Oryctolagus cuniculus: one gene and its partner. The protein of the gene in region 2 purifies or fractionates together with the protein of the main gene of each other region. This does not show direct contact. Links are inferred from orthologs where the notes say so. Each region holds a gene or a part of one and is shown on either strand. Other genes may lie near its edges.

Region 1 (4,119 bases), on a different chromosome or scaffold from region 2:
CGCCCATTACAAAGTAACAAGCATGTTCAGGGCTAGGCAAAAAAAAAAACCTTTAAAACAAGCAGTTGTTACCAGAAGATGTTTCTCAATCCCCTACAAGTGAGAAGAAATTCACAACAGTTGGAAACAAAAAGCAAGAGGGTGAAGCCATCATATATTTGCATGTAGGTTAATCCAATCTACCTGAAAACAAGACACTAAGTATTTACATTTAAAACTCTCCACTGTTAAAATGCCAGTCCTTAAAGCATTACCATTTTCTTACTTTTAATTCAACATTTGATGAAAACTAAGACAGTGCTTAAACTCTGAAATCATTTAGAATTTGCAGGTGTAGAGGTGTGTGTGTGTGTGTGTATTTAGGTTCACAATTCACATGCTAGACGTATACATTTCTTTTTAGAGGGATAAGACTTCTCCTTTCTTCAAGTCCCGTTCAATTAACATCAACTGAGACTTTTCAGTACAAATTCTATTATTTTACAGGTTTTTAAAAATAATTTCATGTAATTAAACATAATTCCCAACTACAACTAAATCTAATCGGTTACTCCCTTTCCTACGTATCCTAACGAAAATTCAGCGCCTAAAACCAGAGACCTCCACGTAAAACCAAGCCGACTCATTCCTAGAAACGAGACTCAGTTTGCAAACGCTTTACCCGGAAGGCAGCTGGTTGTAGAAGCAGGGGCGGCCGGACGCCGGCGCGCGTCCGCACAGCGAACCGTGCGGCCCCCAGCTCGCTCTCCCCGACGCCAGGCCGCACGTACGCAGGCCCCGGGGCGCGGCAGCCTGGAGCTCCTTGTCAGGCCCCGGCAAGGAGTGGGGCGGTGGGAAGCAGGAGCCCCAGGGCCACCCTGCAAGAACCCAGCGCCACACACAGGATTACAGAGCCCGATCCGGCCTGGTCTGGAAAACACTTCAGAGGCTCGAGGAGTCTGCACAACGCTGCCCCAAAAAAGGCACGCTACGCACGTTCTCGGAGAAATCCTCCTGCAGAGCTAGCACCCACCTCCCCGTCTCACCACCCTGGGGCTCAGCTGAAAGCAAAGAGAGACCCAGGAAAAAGGGGGCAGGGGGCGTGGGGGCGCAGAGGGAGACAAAGGCACGGTCGGCAAAGACCTGTGTGAGTCTGGAGGGGCCGAGAGAGGCTCCGCTGGGCCGGGAAGCCCAGGCTTCGGGACGGGACCCAAGCGCGGCCGGCGCGCCAGCAGGGTAGGGGCGAGCTCCGGCCTCGCGCCCCGGCTCCCGGGCAGGCCCACCGCACCTGGGCCGGCCGCAGCCTCCCGCGCCCTGCGGCACCACCTAGACCTGCTATGCCCAGAGCGTCCTCCGAGAGACCCCCTTCCTCGCCAGCACAATGGCCAAGAGCCCGGGGCGGGGTGCGGGGAAAGGGTTTGCGCTCGGTGGAGTCTGGGCTCCCAACAATGGGGCGAGAAAAGAATAAAGACGCTCACCTCTGCCGTTTTGGGACCGAGTGCTCAACTTCGATGGGCTTCCCGTGCAGTTCCGTTTTACCTGCGGACACACGAGACATGAGACTGTCGGGTCGCCGGAGCCCCGAGCCCCACACACCCTGGGCGGCGCCACCGGCCGCCCCGAGGCCTCGGCGCCGCCGCTACGCTGGTGGGCAGCGGGCCCCTCGGGAAGTGGGGGCCCCTCGGGTGGCAGCCAGGCACCGGGTCTCTCCGGCCTCTCCAGGACCCTCCCCCACAGGGCCGACTCGGGGGAGAGGGCGCCCAGTCCTGTTCTCTGGTCCCAGCCCAGGCCCTCCGGGAACCGTTGGCGCCGGAGCCGGGGCCGGCCGGACGTGCGGCCGAGCACAGGGCGAGCCGAGCGCCCACAGCCAGGCTGAGTCGGTAGGAGGAGAAGCCCTAAGACTCAGGGCTCTCGGAGGGAACCAGCGCAACCTTGCCGCCCCAGGCCTCGTCGCCCCGCGCGCCCCGGACCAGCGCGCGCGCCCCGCCAGTCCCGGAGGCCGCCGCCGCCCGAGCCCACCTGCCCCCGGCGCGCGTCGGACGGGGCGAGGTGGAGCCGGGGCGGCGCGGGACCGCCCGTGCAAGGCACCAGCCCCGCGGCCTCCCTAGGCAGCCCGTGTCCGGGATACCGTGCGCTCCCTTAGGCCGAGAGGCAGCCGGGTCCAGGCCACGAGTTAGCGAGCAGAGGTTAGCCCGCAGGGAGCAGCAGGGCGAGCAGGCGCCCGCGCCCGGCCCGGGCCCGGCGTGGCGGGGCCTGGAGCGCGCGCCCGCCGCGGCCCCGCGCCCCTCCGTGCCCGCGCGGGGCTTTCTTGACAGCGCGTCCGGCCCGGGCCCTTGGACCCCCGCGCCGCGCGCTGAGTGCCCGGCCTGGGGTCCCGTGGCGCCTCCGGGCGCGGCGGCCAGGCCGGGGCCCACCTGAGAGCGCCTCGATGGCCTTGAGGGCCCAGCCGTCGTCCGGGCAGTCCACGAAGGCGTAGCCCGCCTTCACCAGGAAGGGCCCCGACACCGGGATCTGGGCGTCCTTGAAGATACTTTCGAGGTCCGCGGGCGCCGCGTCCTCGCCCAGGTTCCCGATGTACAGTTTGTTCATCGCGAAAGGGGGCGGCTCGGAAACAGGAACACAGCGCGGGGTGGGGTGGGGGGACGAAAAAATGAAAAACACGGCAGCGGCGAGGGCCAGGTCCCGCAGGTCCGCGCGCGCCGAGCCCGGGTCCGGGGGGCGCGGGGTGCCCCTTCCCGGGCGCTGCAACCGAGAGCGAGGAGAGAGAAAGCCCAGCCCCAGCCCGGGCGCATCCACGAGTCTTCCCAACTCCGAGGAGGAGGAGGAGGAGGAGGAGGCAGAGGCGGAGGCGGGACCAGCCCGCGCGGGGGGAGGGGCGGGGGAGGAAACTACTTGGCGCCCCCCCCACCCCCGGCCCGGCCCGGCCCCGCCGCGCGGCGAAAATAGCGCCCGGCGCGGGGCCCGGCGCAGCGCCGCCCCACCAGGCCCCCGCAGCGCGGCGGGCACGCGGGAGGGGCGCGGGCGGGCGCAGGAATCCACGGCGAGGGCCCGGCTTTTTGAATGAGCCACGTGTTCAAGCTACAAATCAACGTCTCACGTGAGGAATCCCGGCGCCTCAATTAGAGTGGGTTTCGGAGGAGAGGAGGCAGAGAGCGAGAGGCGGTGGGGGTGGGGGTGGGGGTGGGGGTGGGGTGGGGGCGGGGCGGCGTGGGGGAGGGGCGCGGCCGGGGTGGCGGGGGACGGGGGGCGCCGCCGAGTTTGCCCGGGGGCCGGCGGGGCGGGAGCGAGGGGTGGGGGGAGGCCGGGGCATTGATTTTATTTTCCAGGGTGCAGGGGTTGGGGTTGCTTGCTGGGCAGTTCCCCGGCTCTCGGAACCGCAGTTTTTAATTATTCGATTTTTTTCCTTTTTTTTTTTTTTTTTTTTTTTGCAAATAGGTGATGAACGACCAAGGCCGAGAGTCACCGTCCCCAACTCGCCTGGCTGCCTGGAAGACGCCGGAGGTGCGGGCCGGGGCCTGTCCCCACCCCGCCCCGCCCCCCGGCGGCGGGGACCGGACGCGGCGAGGGGCGGGGGGCCGAGCCCCGCGCCCCCGGAGCCGGCGGGGGAGGGGCGCGGCGTCCGGGGCGGGCGTCTGCGCGACACCTCCTCCGCCTGCGCTCGCGGTGGCTCTCGGCTTCGCGATTGCCATTGGCTGCGCGGCTCGGAAAAGGCTCCGGGATAAATGAGGCCGGGGGCGGGCCCGGCCGCCGGTGGGGGAGGGGCGGCCTGCGGGAGACCCCCCCCCCCCACCGCGATCTCGGGGCGGCGAGGCGGGTTGGCACTTTTATGGAGACGATTTCAGTTGGAGAACTTGGGAGCCGTGCGGGGGAAGACCGCCCCGCGCCAGTCCTGGGTGGCAGCCTCACTTGCAAAATGGCCCGAGCCGCTCCCTGCCGCCTCGGTGCGCGCCTTCGGCGGGGCGAGCCCTGCGCCTCTCGCCGGCCTGGGGCGAGCACAATGGTGGGAGTGGGGGAGGGCCTCGGGCGGGGAGCCTGCGAGGGTCTTTCGGGTGCACCGGAGCCCTGGGATGGGCTCGTAGCAGACAGTCCAGGGGAGAGATGGAAAACGCTCGTCTTTAAAGTGAATGAAATCCTACGCAG
Region 2 (4,225 bases):
CCGAGACCCCAGGCCGGGCCCCGTGAGACCCCCAGCCACATAGCCCAGGTTCCTGTCTTCCCATGTGTGAGGATACAACTGGGAGAAGGAGACAGAGGTGAGCAGAGAAGCAGGATTTATCCAAGGATGAAAGGATAGCACACACCCAGGCTTGGGTCCTCCTTTTAGGGCGTGGGAATGGTGCTCAGGGCCTGATGGAAGATCCAAAGGAGGGATCCTACCAATCCTGGGATGATCCCGCCTCACAGCTTCACTTGCCAGATGCACAGTATTTGCATTTAAATCGATGCCATCACTTGGGCTTTTTGTAACCTTTCCACGCCTCAGCGTTGGTTAATGTTGTTAATGTCCCCTCTCGCTCACTGCAAGTTCCTTCACTCTGCTTTGCCCTGGCCGGGAAAGCAGCCGCTCTGGTTCCTCTGATCAGGGTGCATCGTATGTATTCTCTTTTCGTCTGGCTTCTTTCGCTTGACACGGTCCGGGTTCCTCCATGTTTTTGCACTCGTCAGCGATCTGCTCTTGTTAGATTTTCGTAGCACTCCGTTGTGTACACATAGACCAATTTGTCATCCACTCTCCATGAATTCAGTACGGCCAACTCGCCGAGACACGTGTAAATACCTCTAGGTTGTTTCCAGTTCGGGCCTCACTTTTCTGGGGACCACCACAAGGGGCTGCAGGCCCCCCCCCCCCCCCCCCCCCAGTGAGTGAGAGGGGACGCCGAGGAGGAACAAACGTTAAGGAAATGCAAATACCGTGTGTCCGTGTGGCCGGTGAGGGTGAGGCGGGATCATGCCAGGATTTGCAGGAGCAAAAAACAGGAACAGGAGAAGACGGGACCCGCCACTTTCTTGACTCTCCTTCTCTGATTTGTCATTCCAAGACTTTGTCAATTTTCCTTCTAACACCTCAAAGCTTGTTTCTCCACCACAGTCCATACACTCCTTCCCTTCTAGGGAAGGTACCTTTTACACGATGGCGGTAGAGGCAGAAGATGCGTTTCAAAAGCAGCAAAGATTGGCGAGATGGTTTTAAAGGAGGGAGTACTGTAGCAGCATGTGGAACTGAGAAGCGAAAAACAAAGCCCTTAGCAGAGGATGGTTTCGATCCATCGACCTCTGGGTTATGGGCCCAGCACGCTTCCGCTGCGCCACTCTGCTACTGGACACCAACCTTCCCGCTATTATAAAAGGCAATTCACTTGTTCGTCGTTTTTAAAGTCTATCCAGCGCCACCTAGTGTTGGCTCAAAAAATTTGTAATTACTGTCACGCCTGTTCTTATTGGCCGGTTCCTGGCACGATAGCCGTTTTTTATTGGTCCATAAGCCCGGTTCTCCAAAGCAAACCAATAAGCATAAGCGACAGAGCAAGGCGGGAGCCAATCGCAGCGCGTTTTGTTGGGACACGCCGGCCAGACGCCTTTCCAGTTGTCTGCTTCTCTGAGGAAAGGGGCGGTTGGTGCGGCCTCCATTGTTCGGTGTTAAGGGCGCCATGAGGTAGGGGGACCGAGGTGCTGGAAAGATTGTGGGTATCCGACCGAGAATGTTGGGAAGGTGGGTCGAGAGGAGTCGGAGGACCGGGCAGGGCCGCGCCTCTGCGGCCGGCCGGAACCCCGCGAACTCCGGGGCCGGCAGCGCGGGGAGCCCGGCGGGTGGAGGTGGGAGCGCGGGCCCGGCGTGGGCTGGGGCCGGGGCGGGGAGGCGGCGGGCGCCCGCCTCCGCGAGGGCGTCGTGCTCAGGCCGCCGGGGGAGCTTCCCCGCGTGCGGCGCTGGTCCTGACGGCCCGCGTGTGACGCCCGGCATGTGCCCGGCCGGGGCGCTGAGCGCCGGCTTTGGGGGCTGGCGTGCCCCCGGGTTATAGGGTCTTTCTCGCAGGGGCGCTGCGCGACGCTGTTACCTGGCGGATAAGTCGTCCGGCAGCAGGAGGTCACGAGCAGTGGGGGGCCGGGCGCCATTCGGGACGCGGGGTGGGAGGGGGCGGCGGCGGGCGGCCGGCGGGAAGCGAGGCCGGGCCGCGGCGGCTCCCAGGCAGTAACGTCTGTGCATTTCCAGGGGTGACAGAGGCCGTGGTCGCGGTGGGCGCTTCGGCTCCAGAGGCGGCCCGGGCGGAGGGTGAGTGCCAGTTTTCCTTGCTAGTTTGGGGCACCTAAGAGGAGGTTGGCGGGGTCTGAGGGTGTTTTTGTGCGAGCCGGCTGCGGGGTCACACCCTGCTTCTGCTGCGGGCCTTGCTCAGAAGCCCACTCGGCCCTCCGCAAGCTGTGCGTCTGTGTTTTCCAAATTGCTGGTGCATCGTGTACATCTTGCTTGATTGCTGTGTGCTGAATAATTTGAGCTGTTTGTCTTGTTGCAGGTTCAGGCCCTTTGTGCCGCATATCCCATTTGATTTCTATTTGGTAAGTGCTTTGGGTTGGTGAACGGGTCCTGACCCCTGGTCACCAGCAGATGGAGAAGTGGTGGAGGCCAACAGCCCCCTGACATGGTGGTCGCAGTAGGAGAAGGGATTTGGGAACGGCCTTGGGGTTGTGTGTTAGCATACTTGGCAATAACCTGATTATAATCTTTGAACAACTCATTGCATCTCTGGCTTATTTGTTAATATAAAGGTAGTAAGAACATAAATTATGGCTGTTCTTCTGGGTCCTTGTTGGAAGGTTTTTTCAAAAGATTTATTTATTTGAAAAGCACAGTGTCAGAGAAATAAATATCTTGCATCCACTGTTTCATTCATCAAATGGCCACGATAGCCAGGGCTGGGTCAGGCTGGAGCCAAGAGCCAGGAATTGCATCCTGGTCTCTCACATGGGTGACAAGGGCCCAGGAACTTGGGACATCATCCACTGCGTTCCCAAGATCATTAGCAGGCAGCTGGATTGGAAGTGGAGCAGCCGGGACTCTGTTATCAGAAGCCAGTGGCAGCTTAACCCACTGCACCGCAAGTGTTGCAGAATTTTCTGTGTTCAAGTTTTTCTGTTGCACTAATAGAGGAATAAAACCAGTCTCTCCTGTATGTTGTTGGTGGTCAATGGTTTATACTTGTTTGTTGGTGATTTAGTGTGAAATGGCTTTCCCCCGGGTCAAGCCGGCCCCTGATGAGACTTCCTTCAGTGAAGCTTTGCTGAAGAGGAATCAGGACCTTGCTCCCAATTCTGCCGAACAGGTGTGTGCTCGTGGCTCCCTTTCTGAGCTTTCTCCACAGAAGGGAAGTGGAGAGTAAGAATAGGTTCCCTGAGCCTGAGGCCCACCAAAGCTTGCATTCTTGTCTCACTGTGGTTGGAGATGGGGAGCGAGGTGAGCGTCTTAAACACATGGCATAGACATTTGTATTTTCACTGGGGAATCTGTCTGTGGCAAGTTCAAGACCAGAAGCACTGAGTTGTTTTTAGAACCTTCTGTTGATGGCTGGCAGCTTCCACAGAAGGGATCAGGAGAAAATATCCAAACTCAGAGCAATTGCTTACAACTTTTCATTTTGGGATTTTACTGTTTTTCAGGCTTCTATCCTTTCTCTGGTGACAAAAATAAACAATGTGATTGACAATTTGATTGTGGCTCCGGGGACATTTGAAGTGGTGAGTTTCTGATGACAGCCCCAGGAAAGGGCGGCCTTGGTGATGTGCAGATTTCCTTGGCTCCTGTCTCTTAGTTTTTCAGTTGCCTGAACCTGGACAGTACAGTGGGATTCCTTTCTTTGTTAATACTGATCCTGGGGATACGGTTTGTGTTGATACCAGCCGGCCATGACGGGCCAGGCTTTCATGTGGTTTCTTGGGGTAGGATTTTACCTTTGCTACTTCCAAGTCTGAGTAATAGGAAGCTGTTACCTATCACAGAGTTCTGAGAGCATCGAGGCATCTGAAATTTTTTTTCCTGAAATCTCTTTCCCAACAGCAAATTGAAGAAGTCCGGCAGGTAGGATCTTACAAAAAGGGAACAATGACTACAGGACACAATGTGGCTGACCTGGTGGTGATACTCAAGATCCTGCCGACGTGTGAGTGTCTGTCTTGTGACAGTGGGAACGGAATGTGGCAGGTTCTATGGCTTGAGGCCTAGGCTCTTTAAAGCTCAGCTTTCTTGTGAGAAAAGATTCTTTTTACAACATGACAAAGGAGAAACTGGAGTGAGTGAAAGAATGTATGGCCGGTTCTATAAGGCAGTATTTCTCAACTGGAGGCAGCCTGGGGAGGGGAGGCAAAAGAATGAGCCCATCCAGAATGTTATCTTT

What was found. The genes of interacting proteins can lie anywhere in the genome.
Region 1: the proteins of ILF2 (region 2) and IGF2BP3 purify together in Homo sapiens (affinity purification with mass spectrometry; 3 studies listed by BioGRID and IntAct, counting the BioPlex papers as one, with this or other methods). This does not show direct contact. The link is inferred for Oryctolagus cuniculus from reciprocal best matches to the Homo sapiens genes ILF2 and IGF2BP3.

The regions. Positions count from the first base shown.
Region 1 is NC_091447.1:15,444,523-15,448,641, forward strand, and holds the start of IGF2BP3 (insulin-like growth factor 2 mRNA-binding protein 3), read right to left. Parts: upstream 2,801-4,119; 5' UTR 2,569-2,800; coding exon 2,394-2,568; intron 2,170-2,393; exon of another isoform or gene 1,999-2,169; intron 1,519-1,998; coding exon 1,458-1,518; intron 1-1,457. UniProt on the Homo sapiens protein: RNA-binding factor that may recruit target transcripts to cytoplasmic protein-RNA complexes (mRNPs). This transcript 'caging' into mRNPs allows mRNA transport and transient storage.
Region 2 is NC_091438.1:44,650,797-44,655,021, forward strand, and holds the start of ILF2 (interleukin enhancer-binding factor 2), read left to right. Parts: upstream 1-1,425; 5' UTR 1,426-1,492; coding exon 1,493-1,497; exon of another isoform or gene 1,498-1,543; coding exon of another isoform or gene 1,544-1,554; intron 1,555-1,875; coding exon 1,876-1,926; intron 1,927-2,052; coding exon 2,053-2,112; intron 2,113-2,350; coding exon 2,351-2,393; intron 2,394-3,052; coding exon 3,053-3,157; intron 3,158-3,491; coding exon 3,492-3,569; intron 3,570-3,888; coding exon 3,889-3,991; intron 3,992-4,225. UniProt on the Homo sapiens protein: Chromatin-interacting protein that forms a stable heterodimer with interleukin enhancer-binding factor 3/ILF3 and plays a role in several biological processes including transcription, innate immunity or cell growth.